Linked DNA regions of Oryzias latipes. The protein of the gene in region 1 purifies or fractionates together with the protein of each later gene. This does not show direct contact. Links are inferred from orthologs where the notes say so. Each region holds a gene or a part of one and is shown in the gene's direction. Other genes may lie near its edges.

Region 1 (8,350 bases):
CAATTGAAAACATTTCCACCTGGCGTACACAAATTCAGGATTTCACAGCAACTACGTATAAAAAAGTTAATGTTAATATCAGCAAATAGTGATTTTGTGATTTATTATCTTAAAATCATTGAAATAGTTGTTTTCGTGTTTAGGAGGCAGCCGAGCCTTACCTTTCTCTCTCTCCCTAACCTAAAGGACGTGGTTACCTGAGGTGTTTCTCCTCAATTTGATTGCAACATAGTTATACTAACTTATATTTTAGTTGTATTCAATGATTAAGAATGTAAAACCCTTGATTTTTTTAAAGATTAGGTTAAAAAACTAAAATATCCCCCCAAATAAGAGGTTTTGAGACATTCAAAACATGAGCATATAAACAAGAATCGTTGTTTTTCATATTAGCCACACGAGAAAAACTTAACTCGTAGCCAAGTTACGGTAAAGTAGTAGGGGAAATACTCGCCGTTTTAAATAAAACAGCAACTACTGGACATATGTTTTGACTTTCGCGAAATTAAACATTTCGTCTAAACGAACAGGCATTTCTCTGAAATGTAAAAACAAATCTGTGTAATGTTTGCTAAGTTAGCTTAGCATGTTAGCAAAAAAACTCGCCTTGGGCTGACAGGCCAGCTTCAGGTTTGAGTGTGTCGGATATTTCAAAACAAATTTAAAACTATAAGACGTAATCTCTCTTTCACGGCAAACGACGTAACGTTGCGCGCCAAGTCGTATTAGGTACCTAATGTCGCTGTCATATGTTTGCTTTACTCCGACAAGACAGCTCCAAATGTTGTAATCCCCACCCTTAAAGTAACTGGGGTGTCTCAGTCGTCAGGTCCCACTCCCAGGCTGGTCCAAAGATGGCTGCCAACGGTTCCACTACGGCCTTGCTTGACGAAAATGGGTTGGAAAAACGTGATGAAACTTCAAATCTCTCCGACACACCCATAAACAAGCCCCGAAGACATCCACGAATCCTACTGACAAATTGGGTCTTTTAGGCTAGCACGCTGTTAACTGAGCTGTTAAGTTATGTGAGAGTAGCTATCTAAACTCAACTGTCTGTCCTCTTTCGACATGTTGCAAACAACAGTTCGGCCCCGCCTGTTGCAGGAAACTGTCCCAACAAAATCCAGAGATTTAAGGAGGCAGCAGCCTGCGAGAAGAAGGCAGAGTTGGACGTCCAACAGCCCCGCCTTTCAAATCCAAGCCCCGCCCACTGCCAGATTTGAAGTTTTGGTTATTGTTCCTGTTTGAGGAAGTGTTTTTCCCTCCCTATCATCCATGGTTAGCGTGCTTTAGAGATGTCCAGCTCCACAAAGGTCTTTTCTGAGAACTGTCTATCAGAACCGGCTTTAACTTACAATAAGCAACAACAAACAGGGGCACCTCCAGAAAAAAAACAAAAAACAATCAGGGGTGCCCAGATAAGTATCAAGGAAAACCAAGTAGTACTTCTGTGGTAACCCAAATTTAGTTATCCAACTCTGACTTTGTTTTTTAAAAATTTTCTTTCAGAAATGTAACACAGTTATCAGACATTTTAGAAAAGCTTTAAGTTTCTTTTAGGCAAAGATATTTCAAACTTGTTTTTTTTTTATACAACCTGTTTATTTGAGCTTTTTCAACACCTTAGTAAGAGAACAGGACTAATAAATGAGACATTCAGTTTTTTAATCATCCCCATGGCGATGCCACTGGATGGACCATAAAGGCTGTACTGGAAGACACACAGGAACTACATTTTTAAAAATGTTTCTTTGTATGTGATATTTGATCACTTTTTTACTAAATGTATTTTTTTTATCCCTGCCTTTAATGCGTTTCCTAAGTTATTTGTGCCAGGCTGAAACATTTTTCTCAAACGTCAATATTGATGGCAAACTGAAAAGCTATACTCATTAAGTATTTAAATTTCCACTTTGGAAATGCTTTTTGCTATATTTTCTTAAACTTTAAATAAACCTATTCTCTTTTGCTGTAGAGTGTCCTGGGATTACACCTTTTGTGAAATGGAAAGAAACTGTGTCAAAAAGCTTAATTATTACATAAATGTCGACTGAAAATTTAGTTTTCGTCTCTACTAAAAGTGTGTTTTTTATTGCCTAAAGTTTTCCCTTAGGCATATTTGTTTTTATAGTGGTCAAAGATAAGATTTTAATTCTTTAATTTTCTCCAAAGATTTATTGAAGCTATAGCAGGCTTGTCAAATGACATCCTTTAAAATAGAATAGAAATTGGTTGTCAAGTTATGCTTGAAAACATTTTGTATTCGGTAACATCTTTCTCGAAAAATACATTTTATCTCAAGGGACTTCCTGGTAAAATAAAGGTTAAATAAAAAGTCTGCACATAATAGTAAAAAAAAAAACAACATCTGTTTTTTGCTCCCTTTTAAAGAAAAGCATCTGATCATATACCAAATTCTTCACACAGTGCAAATCTGTTACAAATACATTGTAGGGTGTTACATTTTTGTTGAAGACAATTTACAATGCTGTGCGATTTAAATATTATTACATTATAACGAGAGAGAAAATCCAAATATAATGTTCCAAATTTTTTGACTTGCAAGACTTTTATTCTGAAGAAGACAACGTGGTCCTAGAAACGCCTCTTTCATGACGTCAGAGGATATGCGGAAGTTCATTTCGCCGACATTCCCACATGGTGAAAATGGCTGCTGACGGGGAAAAACAGCAGGGCCACAGAGCTGGCATATACAAACAGAAAAATAAAGTACACAAACATGGTAAACATCGGACGAAAGGTGACATTGAAAGAGAAAACAAAGGTAAGTGATGCTCAGTCACGACGCGTTTTTCTTCTTGTTGGAGTATCTTGGGGCTGCTGTTCCTATGCGCACGTGACGACGTGCCTTTTTTTTAGTAGGTTTTTTGAATAAAATCCTGTCACGCAGTGTACGTGGAAAGTATATTATTAGAAATGAACTGGTTAAAGCTCTCTGAAAAATTAACACGAGTCCATAACAGACGAACTATAAACGACCTTTTTGACGACTTCTTATTTGATATATTGACATTTGATTTATATTTATACATATTATTGCAGACTGAGATGGATCTTCGGGATCTGGTATTTCATATTGAAAAGCTAGTTTTCACGCCTTTAGTGTTTTATCGGTGCATTATTATCATCCATAACAAAGTAATAAAGAGAGATGAACCTTGTAAAAACACAGCCACTTTGTTAGGGTTTCTTTATCCCCATTTAATAGGTGATTACTCTTCATTTTTAGCTAAACAAGACTACTTCCAAATGTGGATTCTTAAAACAGTTTATATTAGAAATCTTGTTTTTTGTACCCTCTGTAGTCAACTCAGATCACGTAGTTGCACTTTTTTATTATTTGAATTCTTGGATTCATAAAGATATCTTCCTTTTAAACTGTAAAGGCTTTATTACTTAATTTAGTTACTTTTATGAAAGACGATAATTAAATTATGTATTTTTGCTTAACATATGATGTGATTTTATGTGATTTTAGAGGTTATTTTTATCCTTAAAGATAGTCAATCTTTGTTTTGTAGTTTGCAGTTTTATGCTTCAGTATTACTGTTTATTAATCACATTTTTACCCCCTCCCCCCATTCTTTCATAACAGCTCCTATTTCTATCTCTGAAAGAACAAACGAACCACCGGCAAAGACGATTCTGTATTTACCTTTAGGGAACCACTTGCAGCACACCACCTTTTGCATATTTGTGTTTAACTGTCCCACAGGGAGAGTTTCAGTGACAGCCCTCACAAAAAAACAACGGAAGGAGCTGAAGAAGATGGACAGAAGGCACAAGGCCAACCAGCTACGCAGAAATAAGAAGGACATGGTATTTCATGTACTGTTTGATAAAACAATACCTCACATTCTTGTTTGATGCTACAGACTTTCTGTTTCTTGCTGTTGTAGATCCTGACAGAAAAGCGGCGTCTGGGCAGCAGGGACGGACCTCCTCATTTGGTTGTGGTGGTATCCCTACATGCAGGAGCGGATGCTGGTGCTGTAACTAAGCTGCTAAGAGAAGAAGGCTCTGGAGGAATTGTGCAGCAGGAGGGGTGCATCAGTGGCGTTAGCGACAGCTTTGGGCTCATTCTGCCTCGTTTCAAACTGAGGTTCACCTTTCTTAGTCAGAGCACAGGTATGTTTTGATTGATGTAAAAAAGAAACTTTGCTTTGATACATCGTCATAGTTAACTTGAATTAAAAAAAAACCTTTAGAAGCAAAGAGAAAAAGCTCATTTAGAAAACCACACAGCTGGGAAACATGCTACTTAATGTATTTTCTGGTGTATAAGTCGCACTGCAGTATAAGTCGCAGGACCCAAAAAATACATTATAAAGAAGAAAAACTCATACAGATTGCTCCGGAGTATAAGTTGCACTTTTGGGAGAAAAGTCCGACGTTACTGACCAAATTGCCAAGCCCGGTATAATTTTTTATTCACACCGAACGCAATGCACACTCAAATTCGCGTCCTCTCCCTCTTTTTTGACATGCGTTAAATTTGTAACCTCTACCTCTTTTGACACACATCAAATTTGATGCTCAACGCTTGTCCGAAAATGTGTTTGTAAACTAGATGCTTCTGTCGAATGAGGGAGAAGCATCCGTCATATTTTTAGCCTCACTGCTACACAAACTGTTTACTGTATATTTTGTTTATAATCAAACAAGCAATCAAACTTTATTTATAAAGCACTTTTCATATAAAATGCATGGAAGACGTTGAGAGATCAGGTTTGTTCATTTTGAAAAGTTCTACAAAAGCGTCTGTAATCATATCTCCATGCCTGGGCTCATGAAATCATTAAGTCTTTTTTTTTCTTACGGCAATCATTACCTTCAATACTGCATGAGCTGCATGTGATTGACGGCGCCACCAGCTGTACTTCCGTGTCTTTGTGACCCAGTTTGATTACTTACTGTCCAGTAATAGTCCAAGAAAGGGGGGAAAAAAAGTATTGTCTCGATTCAAATAAGAAAAATATAAAGTATAGGAGGAAAAAGATCAGATTCCATGTTTGTTTTGGACAGCAATTCTTCTTCTGCGTTGCTATCAGTAGCAAATACTGATCCACACACCTGCAAGGATCGCTATATATAGGTAGCTGAAACTGGAGTTCCACGTCAGCAGGTACCAATTAAAAAGCTATTTATAGCTCTCTGTGGAATTTGTAGTTCAAAAAGGAAGCTTAGTTAATGTGTCATGAATAGCATTAGAGCAGTTAAAGCAGGTTGTAATAAAAGCACAAACATCTTTATTGAGATCCTTTTTGAACAAGTAGGACTTGATTTTATGTAAATGTCTGTTTGGCAGACATTTTGGCAGGCAACATTTCTGTCCCACTAGTTTTATAACTAAAAAAATGATGTTAGATTTGAGATTTGTATTTACGTTGCAATGATTTTCTGTCCTCATGACTTTGTGATCATTTTCTGTTTCCGCGTTCTGAAACCTCCTGGTCTGGTTGAACAGCTGACATGCACTCCCTGCTGGACGTGGCAAAGATTGCAGACACCCTGGTGTTTGTCATGGATTCTGCTGAAGGTTGGGACAGCTACGGAGAATATTGTCTGTCATGCCTCTTCGCCCAAGGCCTCCCCAGCCATGGTTAGTTTTCCTGTGGTGGACAAAATTGACACTTTTTTGAGGGTTTTATTATCAACTTATTATTTTCTTGAATATTTTGTAACTTCTTGTCTCTCAACTCCCTCCCAGCACTAGTGTGCCAGGGTATGTCAGACGTTCCTGTGAAGAAGAGGGTCGAATCCAGAAGAGCTTTGTCAAAAATAGCAGAGGTCCGCTTTCCAGATGCCCGTCTTTTCCCCCTGGACTCTGAGCAGGATGCAACTCTGCTTCTCAGACACCTGGGATCTCAGCGACAAAGAAAGCTGGGTTTTCGTTCCAGGCGTTCCCATCTTATAGCACAGAACGTTACTTTTTCACCCAACGGCCCTGTAGAGGGAACCGACAGCGGGCGCACCGGCCTTGGCACGCTCTGTGTTTCTGGGTATGTTCGAGGCCATCTTCTTGGGGTACACCGATTGGTGCACATCAGCGGTCACGGAGACTTCCAGCTCAGTCAGATTGATGCTCCATCTGACCCACTTCCACTCAACTTAACAACACCCAGAACGGCAAAACCTGGAAAAATCCAAGAGGTGGAGATGCAGGTAGGTGTTCATTGACTTTTAAATACTTTAAAAAAGGATGTGACAGGTTGAGTCCAGTTTACAAACCAGATAAATTTGCATATTTTCTTACACGACAGAGAGTTAAATCAGAAAGGTTTCCTGCTTGGATCTCAATGTTTTTAAGGATCTCTTAAATTAGCTAACTTGACTTTGACCTTCATTCCTTCATTCAAATCTGTAAGGATGCATCAATAAAACATGTATTACTGTAATAGTGTGCAGAATCAATGCATGTTCTTTCTACTTAGAGTTAAAACACAGACTTTATCTGTCGTGAAAGTGCATTTTATGCTATTTAGGATGTTTAAAAAAAACAAAAAACAACTACAAGTTTTGTTTGACCCCACAGGAAAGAGATGTTACCGAAGCTCCTGTGCGAGTTCTCATGAAAGCTGACCCCTCCCTCAGAGAGAGTCTGCAGTCAGAGGCCGAGGTGGACCCCATGGACGGCGAGCAAACATGGCCGACAGAAGCAGAGCTTTTGGAGGCTGAAGGTGCAGAAACACAGCTTGTACTGCCTGCTTTATCAGACAGATAACTGATCAAAGAGTCTGAGCGCGGAGGATTGAAAGTTCTCTTTATTGTTCAGAGGCCAGAAAAAGCAAAACCATGAAGGTCCCCAAAGGAACATCAGACTACCAAGCAACATGGATCGTTGATGACAATGAGGAGGAAGTGGATGATTTAGATGGAGAAAGCAGTGATGATGATGATGACAGCATGATGGATGAACCTATGGATAAAGACGATGAAGAGAATGACTCCCAGGTATACATTTAAGGATTTATTACAATCTGTAAGTGGTCCAGTTGCATTTTGTTGTTATAGCAACAGCATGGGTGATGCAAGAGGGACTCCAAACATGTGAAGGATGAGCATATTGAGCAGAAGGTGTGGAGTGTCTGTGTTTCTGGGGCTGAAACCTGCATACGTGACCCACAGTCATTGCACGCTGCTGGTTGGAGGCACTGTTTGTTTTCTCAGTGTCCGTCTGTGGCTCACCGTGCCAGGCTGCTTACCACAACACAACAATAGTGTTTGGAGCAGGGGGTCCCGAGAGAAGCCTCCTGTCTTCCTGTCTTGTGAAGCAAACTTCCCGTCTGGACGAAGGGAAGGGTTGGCCATTTATTTCTTTGCAACTTTGCTTGAAAAGAAACTGGCGAACCTTTCCTTATGCAACCGGTTCCTTAGGATCTGGAGCTGTTATTAGCACTCACAGGAATACCTACCTCAGAGAGGGTAACAATGGAAAAGGGTACTTCAAATGATGAGGATTATTGTTATTGTGCAGCAGGGGTGTCGGAGAACTTTTGAATCAACCCCATGCAGAGTTCTTTCCGCTCAACCATCAGGCTTTGACTGCACTATGCCAGCTTGATGGCAGAGGTGAAGCATGTGTTTTCTAAAGGTTCCTTTCCTTTAGCAAATTAATGACATGGAAGTTGAAATTGTAAGACAAGAGAGGATGTCCTGTCCTGAACATTTGGAAACTTGCACAATATAAACACAATGCAAATATTAGACAGTGTGACTCCAGGGAGCTCTGAACCCGCCTACACAAACAGACACAAACGCCATCATGAACACAGCTGTAGTTTTTGGTTTTGCTCAAGTTATGCACTTGATTTAAGCTTAGAGACGTTGTTTTGTCAGCAGAAATGTGATATGAGTTTTTAAACTCAATGAGAGGAAAATCATTAATTCTAAAATTCCGACCTGGATGCAGAAATAAAAAGTTTTAAAAGAAGAAAAAAGTTAAAAGATTTATTAAAAACAGAACTTTGTGGTTTGCTAGTAGATGGCAATGGCAACAGGGTTAAAACTGTGATTATAGTTGTAAAAAGAAAACTGATTAATAAAAGGATTAAAGAAATGAACATACATATCAAGAAATGACTTAAAAGCTGGGAAAATGATTTATGTAATGGCAGAAAGATTACAACCAGAACCATGCAGGTGGGAGAGATGGCCTCCAAAAATAAAAAAAAATCAATAAAAACATTTGTCATGGTGGGAGTTTAGGATTTGCATTATGAAAGGGTTTTGGTTTCGTTGTATTTTGTAGAAAATATCCGCTGGACAGTTGTCCAGCTTGTGTTTCTAGACCTTTTGCTATGAAACAAAAAAGAAGATATTAGGT
Region 2 (7,894 bases), on another chromosome or scaffold:
CGGAGGGGGTCTGGTTTGGGGACCACAGCGTTTCCTCTCTGCTCTTTGAAGATGATTTTGTCCTGTTGGCTTCATCCAGCCGGGACCTCTGGCGTGCATTGGGGCGGTTTGGAGCCGAGTGTGAAGCGACTGGGATGAGGGTAAGCAATCTGAGGTCATGATTCTTGACCGGAGAAAGGTAGTTTGCCATCTCTGGGTGGGTAGAGTACTCCTGCCCCAGGTGTTCACGAGTGAGGGAAGATCGGAGAGAGAGCTGAGCCAAAAAGCAAAGGTCTCTGGTCGATCTTTGATCCAGTACTAACCTAGTACCGGATAAATAAATAGTCTTCTGCTCAACTGCTCAACATTTTTAGGTTATTATTTTGGAAAATTGATGATGTGAAATGTAGTGAGTACGTGTCTGAATTGCATTAAATTAAGAACACATGATAGTTCAGTATTTCAGGGGTTACGGAGTAGTGAGGGAATCCGGACACAGCAACTCCATCCAAGATTCTGTATTGGTTTGAAGTCCAGAGACAGACTAGAACACTCCAGAACCACAAAGTGTTTTCATCAGAGCCGGTCCTTTGTTTTCCTGGACGATGTGTTCTTGGTGGATGGTACAGATGTGTTTCATCCTCAATGCTCTCACTGATCTCACCATACATCGCTCTGTTCATGTTGTCCCTGGTGTCCTTTGACAGCTCTTTGTTCATATTGGAGAGGTTGCAGTTTAACTCTTTAAGGGTGCAGACATATGGAGTTATTTCAGTCTCAATAATCAGAAATTGCACACAACCTGTATCACAAATACACACGCTCTGATTCACAACTGTATTTTTACGCAAACATTCAACATTTCCAGTGGATTTGGAAGCAAGGCAACAGTTGTTGAATGCAGTTGGAATTGAATCCAGAGAACTGTCCCCTGGTGATGAGATTTCAATGAATGTTTCACTCAGCATAGTTTGCTAATACTTTATCCTTATTAGCTATGATACTAGCGACCTTTTAGCACTCAGACACCTTGGACTCTTCAGTCTGGATCATGAGAAGGTGGAGGAGAAAAATTCTCAGCTTCCAAAAAAAGTTCTGTGGAGAAACTGGCATCACTTTGTACCACTCTCCATATTAAAGATGCAGCGTGACTACATTACCTCAAAGTAAACCCCACAGGTCAATACCCCCACACACACCTTTGTTTTTTTTTTCATTCTTCAAATCAGGGCTGAGAGTGGAGTCAGCCTCCAACTGTCCTGTTGCGTTACCTCTAAAGTTAGAACAGAGTTACTAGACTGACTATAATGATAATGGATGATTTGATTTTGTTACTAACTAGAGGACTTTGCACCTTCGGACTTTAAAACTTTTCCGCCATGCTTGTGTGCCGTGCACCTTCAGTTCCGACATCAGTGTAAAAGCTGGAGAAAGTCAATGGGGCCATTGGATTGGCTGAAAGCCAGCACGCCTGCTTTGCTGATGAGTTTGATTGACAGATTCATCGGTGACATTAGTTGACCTGCTGCATGAAGGGAGTCTCAATATTCACCGTAGAATAATCTCTCACAAATGTGGGGAGATTCACAAATGAGAGCGGGTTTGTGAATCACATTCTAACATTTTCATGATCTGTGAATTCATATCACAAGTGTACCTAAAATGATGTTTGTGAAGGATCTATTGTGCATTTCTGAAAATTGTGTTTTTGTGAAACACAGCATGTACATTTGTGAGAAAACTTTTTGTGCATGTGTGAAACACAACGTGTGTGTTTGTGAAACACAGGGTGTGCATTTGTCAAACACAACGTGTGGATTTCCAAATTAATATTGCACGTTTGCGTAAAAGTACAGTTGTGAATCAGAGCGTGTGTATTTGTGTTACAGGTTGTGTGCAATTTCTGATTATTGAGACTGAATTAACTCCATACTGACAGGTGGTTTTTAATACTGATAACCAATAGAAAAAACAAAAAAAAAACCAGGTGGCATTTAATACAGGTGACGAGTGGAGAATAGAAGAACTACTTAACCCTTGTGCTATCTTAGATGACCCCCCCCCCTTCCATTGACGTGTTCTCCCTACCATGACAAAGGTGGATAAAGGTGGAAAGATTTCATGTAATCCATGGACACCAGTGAAGATCACAAATCATTGAAGAAAAAAGGTTCAGAGCACTGTCTAGTGGGTCTATATCAGTGTTTTTCAACCTTTTCTGAGCCACGGCACACTTTAACCTTAAAAAAAATCCCGCGGCACACCAGGATCCAAAAATTAAAAAAAAAAAACGGAGAAACTCAGTATGTATTGATCTACAGCCCCTCCACAATCTCGCATGCATTTTTGAGATAATTGTTGCAGAAAAAGCTGGAAACTGCAGCTGTTTTTTTTCTAAAAGTTGCAATAAAAGTTAAGTTAGAAGATTTAAAAACAGTTTGATGTGTGTTCGTTGGTTTCAAGACGTTTAACAACAGATCTCCTTGTGCGCTTTCACTCTCACAACCCAATGCATCATGGGAGATGTAGTGCAAAAAACGGCCGGCGGAGATCGCGTCTCTGAGCTTCATTGTTTTGTTCACTTGTTCCACGGTCTGATACCGGATTCTGTGGAAAGCTGCACCGATAAAGACGAGATTTAGCTGGTATTTTTGTTAGAACTGAGCGATTTTACGAGCTAAATCGGGACAAGGAAGTGAAGACTTTAACCACTTCTGATTGGTCAGACTGATGACATGTGATTAAGCCTTCAAGAATGATTGGTGGAGACAGGTAAAGGGGCGGGACTTTTCCTAAATACAGCCGGAGCTGCAGCTGAATCGCGGTACCATCATTCTTATCAAAATGTCTTTAATAAAATAAAATAAACGCAAAGAAAAAGTATTTTACGATCTTTTATATTCCTAACTACTCAGTGTTTTATCAGGGCCTATTTTGATGAACAGAGAGCTGAAATCCCGGAGATGGGAAATGTTTTTATATCAGTTAATGAGGGTGATTTCCCACGGCACACTTGACCATCTCCCACGGCACACTAGTGTGCCGCGGCACACTGGTTGAAAAACACTGGTCTAGATGACCCAACTCCCTACGTTAGAGTGCCTAGGATAGCACAAGGGTTACAGTAGAAGTAACAGTCTGGACTGAATTCTTGCTTGTTTTTTGGAGCTAAACGCCTTTTTTGTGCACCAAGAAAATTCTTTAAAAATCCGCCAATGAATTTTTTTCTTTCGTCACATCGGTCTCACCTAAAACAGCGCTTTTTTAAATTATATCGATTGTTTTTGTACAACCCAAAAATTTCGCAAGGACAACTCATTGTGCGCTGGGACACTGGCCCTTTAAGCCAATGCATCATGGGAGGTGTGGTGTGAAAAGTGCCGAAAACTTGCAGAAAGACTCGCGTCTCTGAGCTTCATTGTATTGTCCACTTGTTTCACGGTCTGACACCGGACTCTGTGGAAAGCTACACCGCTAAAGACGAGCTCTAGCTGGTATTTTTGTTAGAACTGAGCGACTTTATCAGCAGAATTAAGAACAAGGAAGTGAAGACTTTAAGCACTTCTGATTGGTCAGACTGATGACATGTGATTAAGCCTTCAAGAATGATTGGTGGAGACAGTTAAAGGGACGGGACTTTTCCACAAACTGTCATAGCTGCAGGTAAATCGCGGTAACGTCATTCTTATCAAAATGTCTTTAATAGAATTAAATAAACACAAAGAAATAGTAATTTTAAGATCGTTCATATTCCTAACTCCTCAGTGTTTTATCAGGGCCTGTTTGGATGAACACAGAGCTGAAATCCTGGAGATGGGAAATGTTTTTAGATCAGTGAATGATTAATGAGGGCAATTTCCCACGGCACACTTGACCATCTCCCACGGCACACTAGTGTGCCGCGGACACTGGTTGAAAAACACTGATTTAGAGTATAGGTGATCCCCCTTAAATGTATTTTTTGATGACGTTTCATATATGTCCATACATTTTAGTCATTTAAACTGATCAAGGGGGGATCTCGTTGAAAAACTTGAACACATAAATATTCAATATCTTATTTTCTGCATTGTTTGAGGAGTTCTGATTTCTTTGTTTGTTTCTTGGTTCAGGTTCTGTCCAAATATCGCAGCGGTAAACTGCCAAAGGCTTTTAAGATCATTCCTGCGCTGGCAAACTGGGAGCAGGTCCTGTATTTGACTGAGCCTGAGAGCTGGAGTGCAGCTGCCATGTACCAAGCAACCAGGTGATTTTATAAACAAGGACCGCAGATGGACCCGTCAGATGTTCAACATTCATAAACAGCATTTTAAATGTTTCTGTCGCAGAATTTTCTCTTCAAATCTCAAGGAACGAATGGCTCAGCGATTTTACAACCTGGTGCTGCTGCCGCGGGTCAGGGATGACATTGCAGAGTACAAGCGGCTGAACTTCCATCTCTACAGCGCTCTGAAGAAGGCCCTCTTCAAACCGGGAGCATGGTTTAAAGGTACCGCTGCTTCAGATGTGGAGGGAGAACGTTGGTTTTTTAATGTCTGCAAACAATTTTGATCTTTGAGTTTGGTGACAAATGGAATATTAAAAAATACAAGCTGATATCACTTCAGAGACCCAAGATTTTAAAAAACATACCGTTAAGCAGCTGTCAAAGTTCTATATTGGCAGTTTTTTTAGTGTCTTTTTGACTCACCTGAGTTGGAGTATAAAAAGATCTTTGCTCTTCTTTTCTTTAAAGAGAAGTCAGTAATCTGCAGAGTTGAGAGGAACAGTCAGGTTTTCCAATCCCTGCGGCTTTAGCCATTGATGAAAGAAGTCAGTGATTTAATTCCCTTTTAATTGATTTAACCTGATAACCCACTGAGATTAAGATCTCTTTTGCAAGGGCAACCTGGCCAAATGGTCAGGAGCACACCTCATCATCAACAAAACTAGCACCAAGAAAACATGTCAAAGCAAAAACAAATTTGGAAATAAATGCAAGGATTTAGCAGCTTTTTGCAAATCATGGAATCTATTTTCATTGGAATGTGTCACAGATTAAATGACTGTAGTATGTATACTTGATTGTAAAAAAAAAAATATGATCAAAGATTACTAAATGTCTGCAGGCCAGATGACTTTGTTGGTTCTGGGAGGATAATAATTCATATGTACTAAACTGAGTCAAATAGTTTCAATACCTACAACTTTATTATATAAAGATATTCTATCCCTTAATGCTGTTGCTGTTCATGTTTAAAAAGGGTTTCAGTTTAAGAAGACCATTGTTCCAAACCAAACTATGACCTACTTTAAAACATAACATCCCCTCCAAGTGTCACCACTAGGTGGCAGTGCTTCTCTCCAGTGCAGCAACATCATCTTTTGTCTTTAATACCTAAGCTTCCATAACCATTGATACAAGTATTATCCTCTCAAGATGAGTAATGATAATTAAAGCTTTAATCATAATATAAAACAGAACTGTATTTATATTTATTAGCAGTAGCAGATACTTCCTACTGAGCTAAACTATCTCTGACCTCAGAGTCACACATTACCTGGACAGGTGCGTGTGTGGGGGGGCAAACTACTAAAACATTATAAAGTTACATTTACAATAGAGAAAAATGAAATTAAATGAGTGCAAACGAAACACAGATAAGTTTAATAAGCGACTATTGAAGGCCCGTATTTGTGACGTATCTGGACGTCTTTTTTCTAATGTCTTGGTGCAAAAAGGGAGAGGATCTTATGGAGATTAAACTGGTATTCTATCCATTTGCTTCCACTTATTAGTTTTCTGCTGTAGACTATGTTGAACAATTTTTTAGGGTTGTGGAGCAATTTTTTTTTATCATACATTCATACCTGATAAGGGTAACAAAACTAATAATATTTTATGCTAAAAAGTTTTTTTTTTTTATCCTTTGTGCTGTCTGGTGGGGTCCAGATGACCCCACTCCCAACATTAACGTGCCTTGGAGGCACGTAGTTTGTCTCTTGGAGGCAGTGCTCTGAACCTTTTTTCTTCAATGATTTGTGATCTTCACTGGTGTCCATGGATTACATGAAATCTTTCACCTTTATCCACCTTTGTCATGGTAGGGAGAACACGTCAATGTAAGGGTGGGGGTCATCTGGACCCCACAAGATAGCACATGGGCTAAATGTTTATTATTTAGAATTAGAAATGGTTCTTTTTGGAGGCTTTTAGCCACATCATTAATGCTACTTGTGTAATTGACGAAATGTTTGGTCTAAGTCACACGTGTCAAACTCAAGGCCCGCGGGGCAAAATTCTATGTGGCCTGCGAGAGCATAAAGGTTTTTAATTTCTTAAAATAAAAATTGGTGTGTATTTATTCATATCTAGGGGGAATCGGACTTGAAATATCAGATTGGGCAACTATACATTAGGACTTAAACACTGTCCATATAACCTAACCTGACAGAATCAAATGTAAAAGGATTTATGCTAAAGTAAGAAGAAAACATATGTTTCTATGCAACTGTAATTGTCACTTTAAAAAGTTATAATAAATAAACAAATGAGTAATCTAACATTAAGGAGTAGTTACATTTATTTTTCTTTACATTAAGTTACATGTATAAGTTATATCTGGCCCTTTGAGGACAACCACTATGCTGATGTGGCCCTCAATGTAAATGAGTTTGACCCCCCTGGTCTAAGTGAACACCTAAAACTTTCAATCTTCTCTACATTGCGTGATGTATATATATTAAGAACACCTTTCAAGTTGTTAGCTTTAGTAAACAACATTCAAGCTGTTTTTAGATGGGTAAGCAGAAAGATTTGTCACCGTTTTAGAAACCGTTTAAAGTGTTTCCATAATGTAGGCCAGCTCGTTCCTGGTCCTCGGGATCTACCACCCTGACTGTTTCCCAGATCTCCAAGCTCTCCTGGGTCCTGATTAGCTCAGTCAGATATCTCCACATAATGATTGAATGAACACACCTGTTCCATCCAGGTGATCAGCAGGAAGGATTGCAGGAAGAGCTGGAAAACAGGCAGGGTGGTAGATCTCCAGGACCAGGAATGAGCTGGCCGGCCCTAATGTATGTAAAAGACTGCATCGTCTGCATACAAGCTGAACGTTTGTCCTAAACAAAACTGCATTTAAGCATTTTACAAGAGTCTGAATGAAATGAACAATAAAACCTATCATGCAAATGTCTATAAAGCTGCCCACAAGCTAACAGTTGTCCAAAATGTAACATGTTAGACGAATTCAATAATTCATATAGAACCCGTTTATTTTTTATTTTTATGGAAATTTACCCTGTGGAGCATTTACTCCCTATGGTCTTCACCTGGTTTATTTTTTATTGTTAAACAGGTATACTGATTCCTCTGTGTGAATCTGGGACATGCACTCTCAGAGAAGCCATCATCATTGGCAGCATTCTCACAAAGTGTTCGATCCCTGTGCTGCATTCCAGGTGAGGCCTCTGCACCCTGATGTCCAGATGTTATTGTTTGATAAAACCAGCTTTGTAATACTTTCTACTGTGGCAAGCCCAACATTACATAAGAGGTTTGATTTTGCCTTTCAGCGCTGCAATGCTGAAGTTGGCAGAGATGGAGTATAACGGCGCCAACAGCATTTTCCTGCGTCTGCTGCTCGACAAGAAGTACGCCCTGCCTTTCCGTGTCCTGGATGCCTTGGTGGCCCACTTCCTGTCTTTCCGTAGTGAAAAACGTGTTCTTCCTGTGCTGTGGCATCAGAGTCTGCTCACCCTGGCACAGCGCTACAAGGCTGACCTGGCCTCTGAACAGAAAACGGCTCTGCTGGAGCTACTCAAGCTTCAAACACACCCTCCCATTTCTGCAGAAATTCGTAGGGAGTTACAAAACTCAGAGTCCAGGGACATTGAAATTGGGCTTCCTGTTACTGTAGAAATGCACTGATTC

The links. The genes of interacting proteins can lie anywhere in the genome.
Region 2: the proteins of tsr1 (region 1) and bysl purify together in Homo sapiens (affinity purification with mass spectrometry; 3 studies listed by BioGRID and IntAct, counting the BioPlex papers as one, with this or other methods). This does not show direct contact. The link is inferred for Oryzias latipes from reciprocal best matches to the Homo sapiens genes TSR1 and BYSL.

The regions. Positions count from the first base shown.
Region 1 is NC_019871.2:11,042,403-11,050,752, reverse strand, and holds the start of tsr1 (pre-rRNA-processing protein TSR1 homolog), read left to right. Parts: upstream 1-2,635; 5' UTR 2,636-2,661; coding exon 2,662-2,788; intron 2,789-3,739; coding exon 3,740-3,843; intron 3,844-3,923; coding exon 3,924-4,152; intron 4,153-5,491; coding exon 5,492-5,626; intron 5,627-5,734; coding exon 5,735-6,189; intron 6,190-6,559; coding exon 6,560-6,704; intron 6,705-6,799; coding exon 6,800-6,978; intron 6,979-8,350. UniProt on the Homo sapiens protein: Required during maturation of the 40S ribosomal subunit in the nucleolus.
Region 2 is NC_019863.2:2,266,845-2,274,738, reverse strand, and holds part of bysl (bystin), read left to right. Parts: intron 1-4,091; coding exon 4,092-4,225; intron 4,226-4,307; coding exon 4,308-4,468; intron 4,469-7,319; coding exon 7,320-7,422; intron 7,423-7,536; coding exon 7,537-7,891; 3' UTR 7,892-7,894. UniProt on the Homo sapiens protein: Required for processing of 20S pre-rRNA precursor and biogenesis of 40S ribosomal subunits. May be required for trophinin-dependent regulation of cell adhesion during implantation of human embryos.